2 linked regions of the Caenorhabditis elegans genome follow. The protein of the gene in region 2 interacts with the protein of the main gene of each other region in a pairwise test. Each region holds a gene or a part of one and is shown on either strand. Other genes may lie near its edges.

The links.
Region 1: the proteins of glo-3 (region 2) and ccz-1 interact in a two-hybrid assay, tested with the Caenorhabditis elegans proteins (one study listed by BioGRID).

What each region holds. Positions count from the first base shown.
Region 1 is NC_003283.11:13,676,987-13,682,418, reverse strand, and holds ccz-1 (Vacuolar fusion protein CCZ1 homolog), read right to left. Parts: upstream 3,545-5,432; 5' UTR 3,544-3,544; coding exon 3,459-3,543; intron 3,413-3,458; coding exon 3,303-3,412; intron 3,254-3,302; coding exon 2,943-3,253; intron 2,901-2,942; coding exon 2,335-2,900; intron 2,172-2,334; exon of another isoform or gene 2,022-2,171; intron 1,636-2,021; coding exon 1,512-1,635; intron 1,455-1,511; coding exon 1,187-1,454; intron 1,139-1,186; coding exon 1,016-1,138; 3' UTR 880-1,015; downstream 1-879. Other genes in the region: tag-65 (CID domain-containing protein), read left to right, coding at 3,837-3,936, 3,992-4,131, 4,175-4,315, 4,366-4,517, 4,565-4,917, 4,967-5,241, 5,291-5,415.
Region 2 is NC_003284.9:10,530,653-10,537,916, forward strand, and holds glo-3 (Gut granule LOss), read left to right. Parts: upstream 1-3,046; 5' UTR 3,047-3,132; coding exon 3,133-3,201; intron 3,202-3,249; coding exon 3,250-3,346; intron 3,347-3,391; coding exon 3,392-3,599; intron 3,600-3,643; coding exon 3,644-3,804; exon of another isoform or gene 3,805-4,012; coding exon 4,013-4,121; intron 4,122-4,168; coding exon 4,169-4,316; intron 4,317-4,364; coding exon 4,365-4,543; intron 4,544-4,591; coding exon 4,592-4,718; intron 4,719-5,534; coding exon 5,535-5,705; intron 5,706-5,750; coding exon 5,751-5,934; intron 5,935-5,983; coding exon 5,984-6,103; intron 6,104-6,160; coding exon 6,161-6,264; intron 6,265-6,315; coding exon 6,316-6,462; 3' UTR 6,463-6,479; downstream 6,480-7,264. Other genes in the region: slcf-1 (MFS domain-containing protein), read left to right, coding at 1-128, 179-330, 376-504, 556-671, 720-801, 1,034-1,157, 1,204-1,329, 1,390-1,601; F59F5.3 (Protein kinase domain-containing protein), read right to left, coding at 6,575-6,679, 6,725-6,830, 6,876-6,988, 7,033-7,245.

The sequences.
Region 1 (5,432 bases), on a different chromosome or scaffold from region 2:
AACTCATTGGGACACGAGCGAAAGTTTTCAGTAACAGGAACCGACAGAGATGTTCTTTTTTTGTTTTTTGGTTTGGTTTTTGAATTTTTGGGTTTTTGAAAAAAAAAGGTTTTTTTTTGTTTTTTGGTCAAACAATTTTGGTGGCATCCCTGGTACATATGTACCTGATTGTGAGAGTGTTTTGCTCAATTTCATCAATTATATTCTTGTCTTACTCGGATTTTTGGGTGTTTTCATGGAAAGGCCACAAATTTGTTGAGTGACATTTTTAATTAAAAATTTACAGTACTAGAGGGTACGGTAGCTGAAAACTTTCGCTCGTGGCGAGACGAAATCTCACTTGGGCAAAAGAAAATCTCATTCAAAAAGAGGGTAAATGAAGGTCCCCGAGAGTCAATATCGAGAGAGCAATAAATTCGTTTTCCCTTCAATATGCTCACCTGCCCCTCCATCTCATTGCCTTCTTGCCTCTTTAAGAAACTCCACCCACTTTATTTCTTGGTGGTTCTCTTCTCAGACCTCCCTTATAAAATGTACATGCATTTGTCACCTTGACGACACATATACATATAAACATCAGAAATATATATATAAATTTTTGGCAAGAAGTCATGAGAGTGCGGGGGGGGGGGGGAAATTTCAAAAGTCAATTGGATTATTAAAATGAAAAGCTTTTTGCTGAAGAGAGAAGAAAAAGAAGAAATTTGAAGAAAATGTCGAAAATCGTGTGGAAAAAGAGCAAAGGAGCCGTCGGAGTGGTCGAGGGGGAGCATGATCAGATCTTTTGACTAAATCTAATTTTCAGCATCAAAGGGCACTCATCCGATTTTCGAAATTCCCCGGCAGTATATGTGGAGCCCAACATGTTTCTCATGTTCTAAAATTGAAAAGCTTTATATAAATATAGATCTGTAGAAAAAATTGAATAAGATATAAAAGTACAAGGCAACGGAATTGAATTATAGGCAAATATCACAAAATTTTGGCACACATGCATGGGAAAATATGAATATTATCAACTAAAAAATATGGCTTCGAAATGGGATCGAACAATTGTTGCAGTTTTTGATTGGACATCGGCAAGGGATGATGTGTAGTTGGATGGAGGAATGATTAAGACAAGGAGGCGAGAATTAACCTGAAAAATAAAAACATTGAATTTTGTTTTTGCCAAGAATGTTGTTACCTTTTTGATAACAATCCACCAATCACTTGAAGATTTGACGAAACATTCACCAAATTCTTCAGTTTCCGACACAAAATTGCTCATTGTATCACATACTAAACGATTAACATCAACTGGTGGCAGTGGTACTTTTAATGTTGAATTAGATCCAGAAGCGGCAACGGGAAGCTTCGGAGATGTTGAAAGGCTTGAGGTCATGGATAACGATGATGGATTGAAGTAAATGTAATGGAAATCTGGAGCTTCCGGGAACTTTTCGTCGCCGATTCTGAAATTAATGGAATTTAATGGAATTTATTGTGATATAATGTAAGTTTGAACTTACTCGTCACCAATTTTACTCGCTACTTGTGAAAGTTCGGTTTCCAAAAACTGATCAATATTTCGAAGAAGTCGACGACTGACAACACCATTCTGTGAAGGAGTGGCGCGAGATGATTGAGATGATTCTGGAAAAGAAAATAAGTCGGAAAAAGATTTATTTTGTTTAAAGGTGGAGTTCGGAAAATGTAGATATTACCTTAAAAGTAGTTTAATGTGCCGAAATATCACATAAGAAAGATGAGAAAAATCCACCAAATTTGGAAAAAATCTGATTTTGATGAAAATTCAACTTTTGCTAATCCCTTTATTTGAATTACCACGCTTTTGTCTCTAAACTCCGCCCATAGAACCGTGCCGCACTTCGACTTTTTTTTTCAATTTCGACACGAATTCTTCTTTTTTGTGTTTCTTGACTAATTTTTAATGAAGAAAAATTCAAAAATGTTCAAAAATATTTTTCCTATTTCAAAAGCATTTAGAAATCATTTTTAAAAACGTTTCCTTGTGTTTAGAATTTCAGGAACATGTACTTTTTTCGGGTTCGATACGATTTTTTAATTCTTTTGATATACAAAAAAATATATTTGATCATTTATGCCATTTTTCTATATTAAGAATAAAAAAACAACACAAAAAGACAAATTTGCGGTACAATTGCAAAAAAACGAGGCGCGGCACGGTTCTACGGGTGGATTTTAGATACAAAAGAGCGGCAATTCAAATTAGCAGATTAGCAAGAGTTGAAAATCGCTTTTTTATTTTCAATTTATTCTCAAAACGTAATAAGAACGTTTCGTTTCGAAAAACTATTTTTAAAAACTCACCAGAATCCCTTCTGATTTCTAATCCACCATTTGCTGGACAATTTCTGACAAACATGCAAACTGTTGCATTTAGACATCGATAAACGATCATCTGGTATCCGATGAGTTCTTCTTGAAATTCAGTTCCTTGATCGGAATGCAAATGAACTACAGAAAGTGACTCATCACCGAGCAACGGAGCATCTGTTGTTAAATCTGTTGGTCCTCGTAGATATCTTCCTTTTGAAGCATTTCTTCCAGAATGTTCAAGTTCTGGAGCCAATGTTGTTGGAAGCAAATTATGTGTCAAATAATGAAATAGTGATGGAAGATCGCGTTTCGAAAGTTGATAGTAGAGAAGTTTATCTTGATACAAGAACATTATTTTCTCGATAACTTGGAATTCTTCACGAAGTTCGGAAAGTAAAGAAACAACGTTCAAGTAGAGAGGACCAGACATTCGTAGAAATTCGACGCCTCCAAGATGATCAAGTAGTGGCATTTTGTGAACTTTCAGTAGTGGGATGTACTTGGAGAAGAAAAAATCAAGGCGTTCTTTGAATTTTGGAATGTCGTCGGGAACATTTCTGAAAGATATTTTTATTTTTATAAACTAGACTTTAACTTACTTGATAAAAGAAGAAAAAGTTCCAAAAAACATTCGAAACATTTTGTAGGCATCGGAAAGTATACTCCTAATCGCTGGTTGAAATAGAGGATAATCAGAAACCAATGATAATTGTTTAGAAATTGATACTCCAAGAATAAATTGATCGTCTTCTGTACGAATATAAACGTGCTCTGTTCTCTGCGTCGTCACAGTTCGGAAATCGAAACCATCTTCATTTTCACTAATTCTTTCACTGATTTCCCGACGGGAGGTGCTCAAGAAATTTTCTGTAAAGTTAACAACGGCTTCTGCGAATCCTGTTATTTCGGTCTGAAATTAATACAGTTATTAGAATAAAAAGTATTACGATATTGAAAACCTGTCTCTCTAATTGCTCGCCTTTCGGATGAAAATACATCACACGATTATGTTCTTCGCCTTCTTTTCGTCCTGATAATGGATGCGCCACGAAAAAGAATTCAAGGACATCTGTAAAAACATAATTATTTCGTTTTTTTAATTAAAATTCAATTACCAATGAATCTGACCACATTAGAGCAGGATGGCGGGTTTAATGACAAGTTGGAGAAGAAATACAATGGATTTGCAATCGACTCCATTCTGAAAAAAGCAAAATATATGTTTTGTACCGTGCAGTGTTAAAATTAAAATTAAAAATAAAATAAAATAAAAGAGAGAAAAAGAGTGTGTGAGACTAGGAGGGTAGCAGACATAAATGATTGACGCAAACGTTGTTCACTGACGCAAAACTTGATCACTGGCGCATGTCTCGATTTATTTTTTAAATCCTCCGCAAATTTTCTGCAAAACCATGCAGAATATATATATTGTTTATTTGTCACAAGAAAGAGATAAAATATTTGATCATATAAACATATAACTTTTAGACGACATGAATGAAAATTCTAGCTGGAGAGGTGGCAGTAGCTCTCAGCACGGTCAATCATGGCGCAGTGGCGATATTCCACTCCCTAGGGACTTCCCTCCACCAGGTTTGAATCTTTTAAACGTTTCAAGATTGTAAATCATTAATTTTTGACTTTTCAGAACGGCAGTCGATTCCTTCTCTGATGGATCCACCAGAGATTGTCGAATGGCGCAAGAAAATCGATGAGTTACGTCAAAAGATTATCGACAGTGAGCAGAATTTGAACGCTCACAGAAATGGAATGGACGAGCTCCTAATGGTGTGTTTTGCAAACATACAATCTTGTATCCACGTTTATCCAGGCACATCTTAAATCTGCTATTCGAACTTCTGAAACAATGAAAATTGAGAAGATGTTGAGTCAGAATAATCTGAACGTGGAAGATCTCAATTCCTATTTAGATGCAATGGCTACACCGAAATGCTCTAAAGATTTGATTTCAGTAAGTAATTTTTCAAAAAATAAAGAAATTTGACGAAAAATTTTCTTCAGCAAGCGAAAAAGTGGATTTTCGAATACTGCACAAGCGATCAGCTGAGAGAAATAATACTGTCTTTTCTGTTAAATAAAGTTAAAGATGAAGCATCTGGAGAATATCTACGACTTCATATTCTATATTTAATCAATGATTGGGCATTTCATTGGTAAGCTTAGAATACTGAACAAAACGTCGTTAAATACCAAATTTCAGTCAAAGAAAAAAAGAAGAAAATCAAATGAAAATGCTGGCTCGATACGTTCCAAAAATGTATGCATATTGTATAGAACTTTCTTCGTCGAGTGAGTTGAGCAACAAGTTAGAAGGAAAGCTTTTAGGAGAATGGGAAGGTCGACAATATTTCGCTGATTCTGTATTCAAACAACTCAGGAATACAGTTCAAATTGTTAGCACTGACAGAGAAATTGAAAAATCATCTTATGGAACAATTCGGGAGTCGATTCGAAGTAATCTGATGGCAACGTTTGATGGATATGAACAACAGCATGTCACATATTCCCAGCATATTCAAAGACAAATTGACGAAGTTGAGAGAAAAATTGATGGTGAGAAATAGAAATTTAGTCTGAAAATTTTAAAAATTGGTTCTTACAGAGTTTCGTCATGGGCCATCATCCGGACCTGCATCGCATCATCCTAATGCTCCACTGTCAAACATGAGAAGATCAAGATTTGATCAAGCTCCAAAACATTCAGCTGAACGACCACACGCTTCTGTTTCGAACACATGGAATCAAAATGACCAGCAGGACGATGGAGAAGATATTGATGGAATGCCGTTTGATGAGGAAAATTTGAAGCCACAGAAATCGTATATGGCTTTACCGGCTGGAATTATGACTCCACTAGTTTCGATGAATAGTGTCATGGTATGTTATGATCCGATATTTTGTCAATTTATATTTTATTTGATTCAAGTATGAACCATTGGACCCAGAAGAACTTGAAATGCCAGCATCAGTTCCACCGTCATCAAGACTACTTGCTGCTAAGAATATGTTCCACAAAGGTGTCGAAATGGATATTGCTTTGGCCGATGGAGCGTACGTTCTCAAAATCA
Region 2 (7,264 bases):
AATATTTTATCAACGATCAGGAGCTAGAATCAGTATTATTGCTGGCTCTTTTTTGACTGGTGGCAGTTTCGTCGTTGGTCCATTTTGTAAAAACATTTATCTTTTAATGCTTGCAACATTTGGAATGGGTAAAAGCTTTGGAGAAAAAAAAAAGATATTCTAATGTTCAATTGTTTAGGAATTGGGTGTGGGTTGATGAGAAATTCGATTATTTCCATTCAATGTGAATATTTCAAAAAAAAGCGAAACACTGTTATGGCTGCCATCTCAATCGGTCCAGGACTGGGAATATTCATTCTTCCTAGAACATTGAAGTTTATAATGGTTAAGGTACAGTCTAGACAATATTATAACAAAGTATAACATTTTTTGCAGTATAACAGCTGGGGTCCAGCCTGGTGGTTTTTATCCCTTTTCTACATTGTATCTGCAATTATGGGTCTCTTTATCACCAAGCCGCCATCAGAACAAACAAGCACTTTTTCATTTGGATCTGCTTTTAAAGTACACTTTCTTCAGTTTTTTAATTAATTTAATAATGCTACGTTTTTTTAGGTATGCAAGAAATTAGAGTTCGACTTGCACTTAATTGCATGCTTCTTCGCATCATCAGTGATGTTCATTTACATTGCCAACATTTTGATATTGATGGAGTCAGAAAATATAGAAGAGTAAGTTATTATTTTCAACTGTATAATACATAAAAACCTGACTTTCAGTAAGGAAATTCTCTATGGATATCAGGGATTGACCAGTATAGCTGGAAAGTTTGTTCTAACATTTGTAATGAGCTTGAATAAAGTAAGTTGAGTTTGATTTCAAATTGTAAGTAATTCAGTAGTTTTTATTTCAAAAATGTGATATACCGTATTTTCTCTATCAGTCTTGCATCTCTACGTACCAAGCCAATATCGTTTTTGCATGAGGAACTATGAGATTTAAAAAATAGTTCGCTCTTTTTTTTTTCGATCATTCCATTTTCTAGACGCAGAGCTATAAGTCACATACATCTTATTTTACCATTTTTTTCTAGGTACACAATGGAATAATTATGATTTTGAGTTACGTGATAGCTCAGTTATCACTTTCTGCTGCAGCTTTCTGCTACAAATTCTGGCAATTTAGACTTCAAAATGCTTTTGCTGGCATTGGAATTGGTAACTAACAACGTTTTTTGTACTTCCATATAAAATTTCATTTCAGGACTCTACCAAGCTTGTTTAGCACCGTTTTTGGTGGCTCTCGTTGGACCTTCTCAACTTGCATATGCACTTGGCTTTACCAATTTGATCAACGGAGTATCTATTATTTCCGGCGTGTGGATTTCAGGTTTGCCGCCATCAATTTTATTATCCAAGTTTTCAAATCTAATCGGTCACAATTTTTCAGGATTTGCAAGCAAAGGAACAACTGGTGACCACGCAAGAAGTGCATTTTTCGTTTCTATTTGGCTTGGGCTTGCAGCGATAGTCATGTCAATTGCCACGTCATCTGTTCTTATGGCTAGGGAAAAACACAAGAGAAAGCCATCGATGAAACAAATGAAGCATTCATCAGAGTTAAATGCCCTAACCAACATCACTTCTGTGGAAAATTCATAAGTACATATAATTCACTTTGCCTTCTGTGCGAGTTGCTTATCTCTATTAATATTCCAGATTAAAACGTCACAAGCAACCGTATCGTATCAAGTCACTCTTATCAATCGATGATGTGAGAAAATGCGTTCAAAGTTGAAAAGTCAACGCTAAAATAGTTGTTAGAGAAGAAAATGACTATTTGTGTTTCGGTATTGGTTTTTGTCTCTTCGACTCTATTACTATGGTTCTTTTCTTATTGACGCAATATTCTCTTTCGTCTATTTCCTGATAATGTTGAAATTATAAGCATTTATTGTATTGTACAAAGTTGTAAAACAAACCTGTGATATGTGCTGGGGAAAAAGGAATTATAGGTCCCGGAAGTGTCAAGAAGCATGAGTTAAATACTTGCAGAAGTCACAAAAACAAAATATAGTCGTCATGTGTTTTGTTATCAACAATGAGTTAATAAGACAAAGACAATGATGACAATGTCCACTCAAACTACACATCTCGTTACCTTTCTTGAGCACTTGTCTCTTTTCTCCCGCACAATTATCGATGTTTTGTCTTATTGATTCATATATTTGTCTGGTATCGCTGGTACTAGTAGCAAACCAATTGATAAGTCATAATCATGCCTGTCCCTTTTTATTCTTTATTTTTCTGTCTTTTTTAGATTGAATTGAATTTTTTTTTCTTATAACGATAGAAGTGTCTTTCTTTTTACCAGTTTTTACGCATTTATTATTAATTTTGTGTTTTTTGATCTCAAGTGGTATGCAGCCAGAATAAAATTATTGATCCATCTGTCTGGAATGGAAGGCGCAATATGATAAAGAACAATCCTAGTTACATGGAAAGTTCCACAAACTATAAAGTATTTTTGAATTCAACAATTATTTGTATTGAATAGATGTATTGAATAAGGAAACAAGTAAATAAGATTAGTTATAACGTTTCTCTAATTGCTTTGAACTTTTTGTTTTCAAAATGTCTAATCAAGAATTACATTGTAGCTCAGGAATGGGCTTCTTTTCAATTCCTGTAATTTGCTGATTAGCCGATTTTCCGGAAAACAATTACCGAAAAATTTCATTACAATACGAAAATAAAAGAAAATAGAGAACACTTTTAGTGTTGTTCTTAAATATACCAATTGAAGAACGATCTGACATGTAATCCTGACAGCGAGACTATAGTAAATATAAAGCTTAAAACGGCAAGTTCATTGATTCGTAAAAATATGCGTCAAATAACGTTTTGTATTAAACAACATTTTATGCTCAACTTTAGTCCAAATTCGTTATTCTTAAAATTAAAAAACTTACATCACAAGATTCAATTTGGGTTTGATTCAGCGTGGGCATGATCGGCATGTGAAACTGAACTATTTAATAATACTTACCGTGGTTACGCGATAAAGAGTCTGTACTCTTAACAAAAATTTGAGTTTGATTGAATTTGATATTTGATAAGCTTGTAGCGACTCTTCACCTTTTCCGCCCGCTACTCGCAAATAATGCATTTTTTCCAGGTAAACTCGTTCAAAATGTTTGGTTATGTTGTTGTTAATGAACAAAATTCAATTGTTTTTCTTGATGGGAATGAAGAATTCAAGGTATGTGGAAAATTTAAACTGATCATGTTTGAATAAAACGCACTTCAGACTATTTTTCAAAGCTTAATTCAATCTGAAATTACAAGCAGAAAATCTGACCTAGATTCTGCATCAAGTGGAGTTGGAAGTTCTACGTGTACAGAAGGTGAGTGGATAGCATTCAATTGTCAGTGCCAATATGATTTTTCAGAACAAGAATCATCGTTAGATCACTTCAAGAAGCCTAATGTTGTATTTAATTCATCTGAAATTTCACATATTCTTCTCCCCTTAATACTTCTGTACAGGTCGACGAGTGAAAAAACAAAAGATCCCATCACTGAGATGTCTTCACAATTTGGAACAATATCAATTTCAAAGTTTTATCACAATTATCTAGTGTTGGTGTTTGCCAATGAGTGAGTTTTCAAAAAATATTTACTCTCAAATGTTAACATTTCAGCGATCGCAAGCGAATCGAAGTCTCTCAAACAATCGAACATACAATAGCGACGTTATTTGGTCCATTAATTGCTTTTTGTCACACTGATCTCACGACCGTAAAGAAACCGAAAGAGCATCTTGCCTGTGCATTGACGCGAAAATTGTCATACAGCCCAAAATGTTAGTTTTGATTATGGTTTACACTACTAGTAGTTTATTGTGTATCAACAAAACTGAATACGCTTGTTTTGTAATTTTCTGCACTAGAAAGACGTTGGTAGCAGAATAAAGTTCAAATGTCGTTGGTCACAAAGAAAAACTAACTATTTTAAGGATTTGGTTTAGTACTTATTCGCTTTTTGCGTTAATAACGGGTTTTCTGTTTCAGCATTCATTGATATCCGACGAAAATTATTTTACTTCGACAAAATAGCCAAGTTGAAGGATACGTTTCATAAAATTTCTTCTCAATTGAACGTGTTTGTTGACAACAATAGGTAATTTTTTCTTGTGTTTATTGAATAAAAAAAACAATGTTTTTCAGATGTCTGTTACTTTCTAAGGGTGACATCATTGCTACTTACAACTCTGTTGAAGGTAACGATGACGTTTTGAAAGGGCTCAACACAAACGATCTACTAAACATTGTATCAAACACGTCGAAATGTGATGCAAACACTAAGATTGAGCAGGTTTGCATAGTTTGTACACTTTCCTTTATAACACGTTCTCTGATTCAGTTTTGGCTTCGATCAACGACAGGCCTAATTCCATATTATGTCAATGTTATCAGTGCGACAGTTTTCAAAAACATGACATTAGTCTGTCTCGTGGAATCGTCAGAAAACACATTGATCAGATACTTATATTTGTTCTCAAAACAGTTGGATCAGCTCAGAATAAGTCAAGATCTGAATAGGTTTGTTCAGAATAAAAACGTGTGAAAGCTGAGAAAATATATTTTTAGAGATTTGAAAGAAGTCCGCAAAACAATTAATGATATTCACATACTACTTCTCAGTAGAAAACCGCTTCCCGACACATACTGTGCTGCATTCATGAGAAATCCATTAAGGGCATCTTCGTTTTTCAAGGTATGTTGATTTGGAAATAGAAAAGGTCAAAATAGATAACACAGTGTAGTTGGCATTATCTCATTGAATGAATTTGTTTCTCAACAACATCATGCACCTTGATTCGTAGGTAATTGCGTGAACTGTTGCAGAATAGTTCTAAACAAGCACAATCAACAATAACAACTTTAATTTTAAAAACTGTATTTGTTATGTATAATTTAGCAAAGGGGTGGCTTTTGCCGACCTGCAATTGTACAAAATGAGACGGTTGGGCATGTTCCCCCAATATTTTTCTATAATATTTAATGATACAACATAGAAAAATATTTGCTTTATTTTAAAATAAATGTAATTTTAGTTGAGGAAATTGGAAAAATATTCAAAAATAGTCTGAATGTTGAAAATTGCTGGTGAAAATTGCCGAAAAATTGACTGCAATTTTCACCGGAAATTTTCAACATTTCGACAATTTTTGAACACTTTCTCGGTTGTTCCAAGTCAAAGAAAAATCATTTTCAAATAAAGCAAATATATTTTTATATTGTTTTATTGAGTTTTAATGGAATTATCGGCGGAACATGCCCAACCGTCTTATTTTATAGAATTGCCGGTCGGCAATGGCCGCGCACCACTGATCTAGCATTTCTTCAAACAGAAACAAGTTCCACGTTAAAACAGTGATTGGCGAAATATTGTGGTACAATAGTGTTTTAACAAAATTAATTTTATTTTGAAAACTATAGGCTTTGAAATCACTGCTGAATTAATCGAGTTGCAAGGTTTCATCTTTTCCCGTAGATGTGCAAAAAGAAAGCTTTCATTAACCATTTTTAGTCTATATGGAATCAAATCGAGACGGAGGTACTTCAAATCAACAGGCACTCAGCAACACCAACTCAGAAACCTAGATCGGAATCAAGATTTTCAATAAGTTCTTGGAGAAGTGCCCTTTCGACAATGTCACTTAGTTCGTCGGTGTTTACCAGAATAACCATGGACGACAAGGTAAATTTATTGTGGATTAGGTTCAGTTTCAAAACTTTTATTCAGACGATGACTCAAAAAATGGATATTCTACTTTCCTACGGAAAAAAGCAAATTAATTCATTGATACAAGAGCTGTGTTCTATAAGTATTGCTAATGCGAAACTATCTACACTCCCTCTATTCAATCAGTGCTTGGAAAAAACTGTAAAACCGAACTCAGTCAAAGCCGTTGATTCTTTAGGAATAGGTAATTCAATTTTTCCAACAACCTCCACACACTTTCAAAACATTTCCAGGTTCAAAAGAACAAGAGGATAAATTAGAAAAGTTTTTGAAACCATCAGAGTTTTTCTTAGAAATGTATGCTTATCGAATACAGTTTGACGATTTGAAACAAGAAATTACATACATCTCAGGTAACTTTAAAATAAAACTTTAAATTAACAACCTTTATCAAAATTGGTCCTTTTTAGATGAATACAAAGAAAATGTAAACTGGATTCGACAGCTAAAAAGTGCAAATCGATTCAGTTGTGATTATCTTCGGAACTCTGGAGAAAAGTTTATGATATTTCATGTGAGTCCATTATCAAACTATGCATTTTATCTCAAACACCAAACTTTTCAGTTCAATCTACCAAATTTGAATCAGAAATCTACCGAATGTCGTTCAAATATCAGAATGACAGCTGTTTTCCCAGAATATATGAATAAAAATCTCGCCGAAAAGCAAACGAATAAGTTGTTGGAATGCGTGTTAAAACAGTTAAAATAAATAATTTATATTTACAAGTATATTTGTTTTTATTGCTCAAAATTATGACATATTGATGATCATACTGATGGATTGAGATATGTTTGATTATCAAATAATACGAGAGCTCTTTTTACAAAAAGAGATGAGACGTTTGTGTATACTGAGAAACGAAATGCTCTTCCACAATATTCCGATTTACTTCATCAATAAGCGTTTGCTTCAATTTTAAGAATTCCTGAAAAAGTCTCAATCAGGAACGTTGCGTGAATAAACATTTTACGTCATGGTCCATATGTTTTAGTACAGTACTAAGAACATCTTTACAGCTTGAAATTGACGGACGACTTTTTCTGTTCTCATTTATGCAATCCACAATTAAGTCGTATCTAAATGTATTGATTGAAACGTGATTCGATAAAACACAATCATACATTGCTTTCGGACAGTTTTCAGGTTGAATAGGTGGATAAATTCGTCCATAGTCGCAAGGCTTCATGAATGAAAACAAGCACAACATAAGTCTTCCAAAACAATACACCTCAGACTGAAACAAACATACTTTTGGAAAAATAAACGTGAAAAACTGACCGAATAATAATAATACACTCCTTTCAAGCATTCATTTGGATATTCTTTAGGTATATCTTTTGACATATGTGCCTTTAGAATTTCTTTGATCTTCTTCTCAATACTTATTTTACGAGTTGTTTCTCCTTTCTTAGCACGTTCAAAATCTGTGATTTTACACACTTTGTTGTTGCTAATTAAAACATTTCTCATAGCAACATCGCGATGTGTAATCTGAAAAAATTTAAATAAG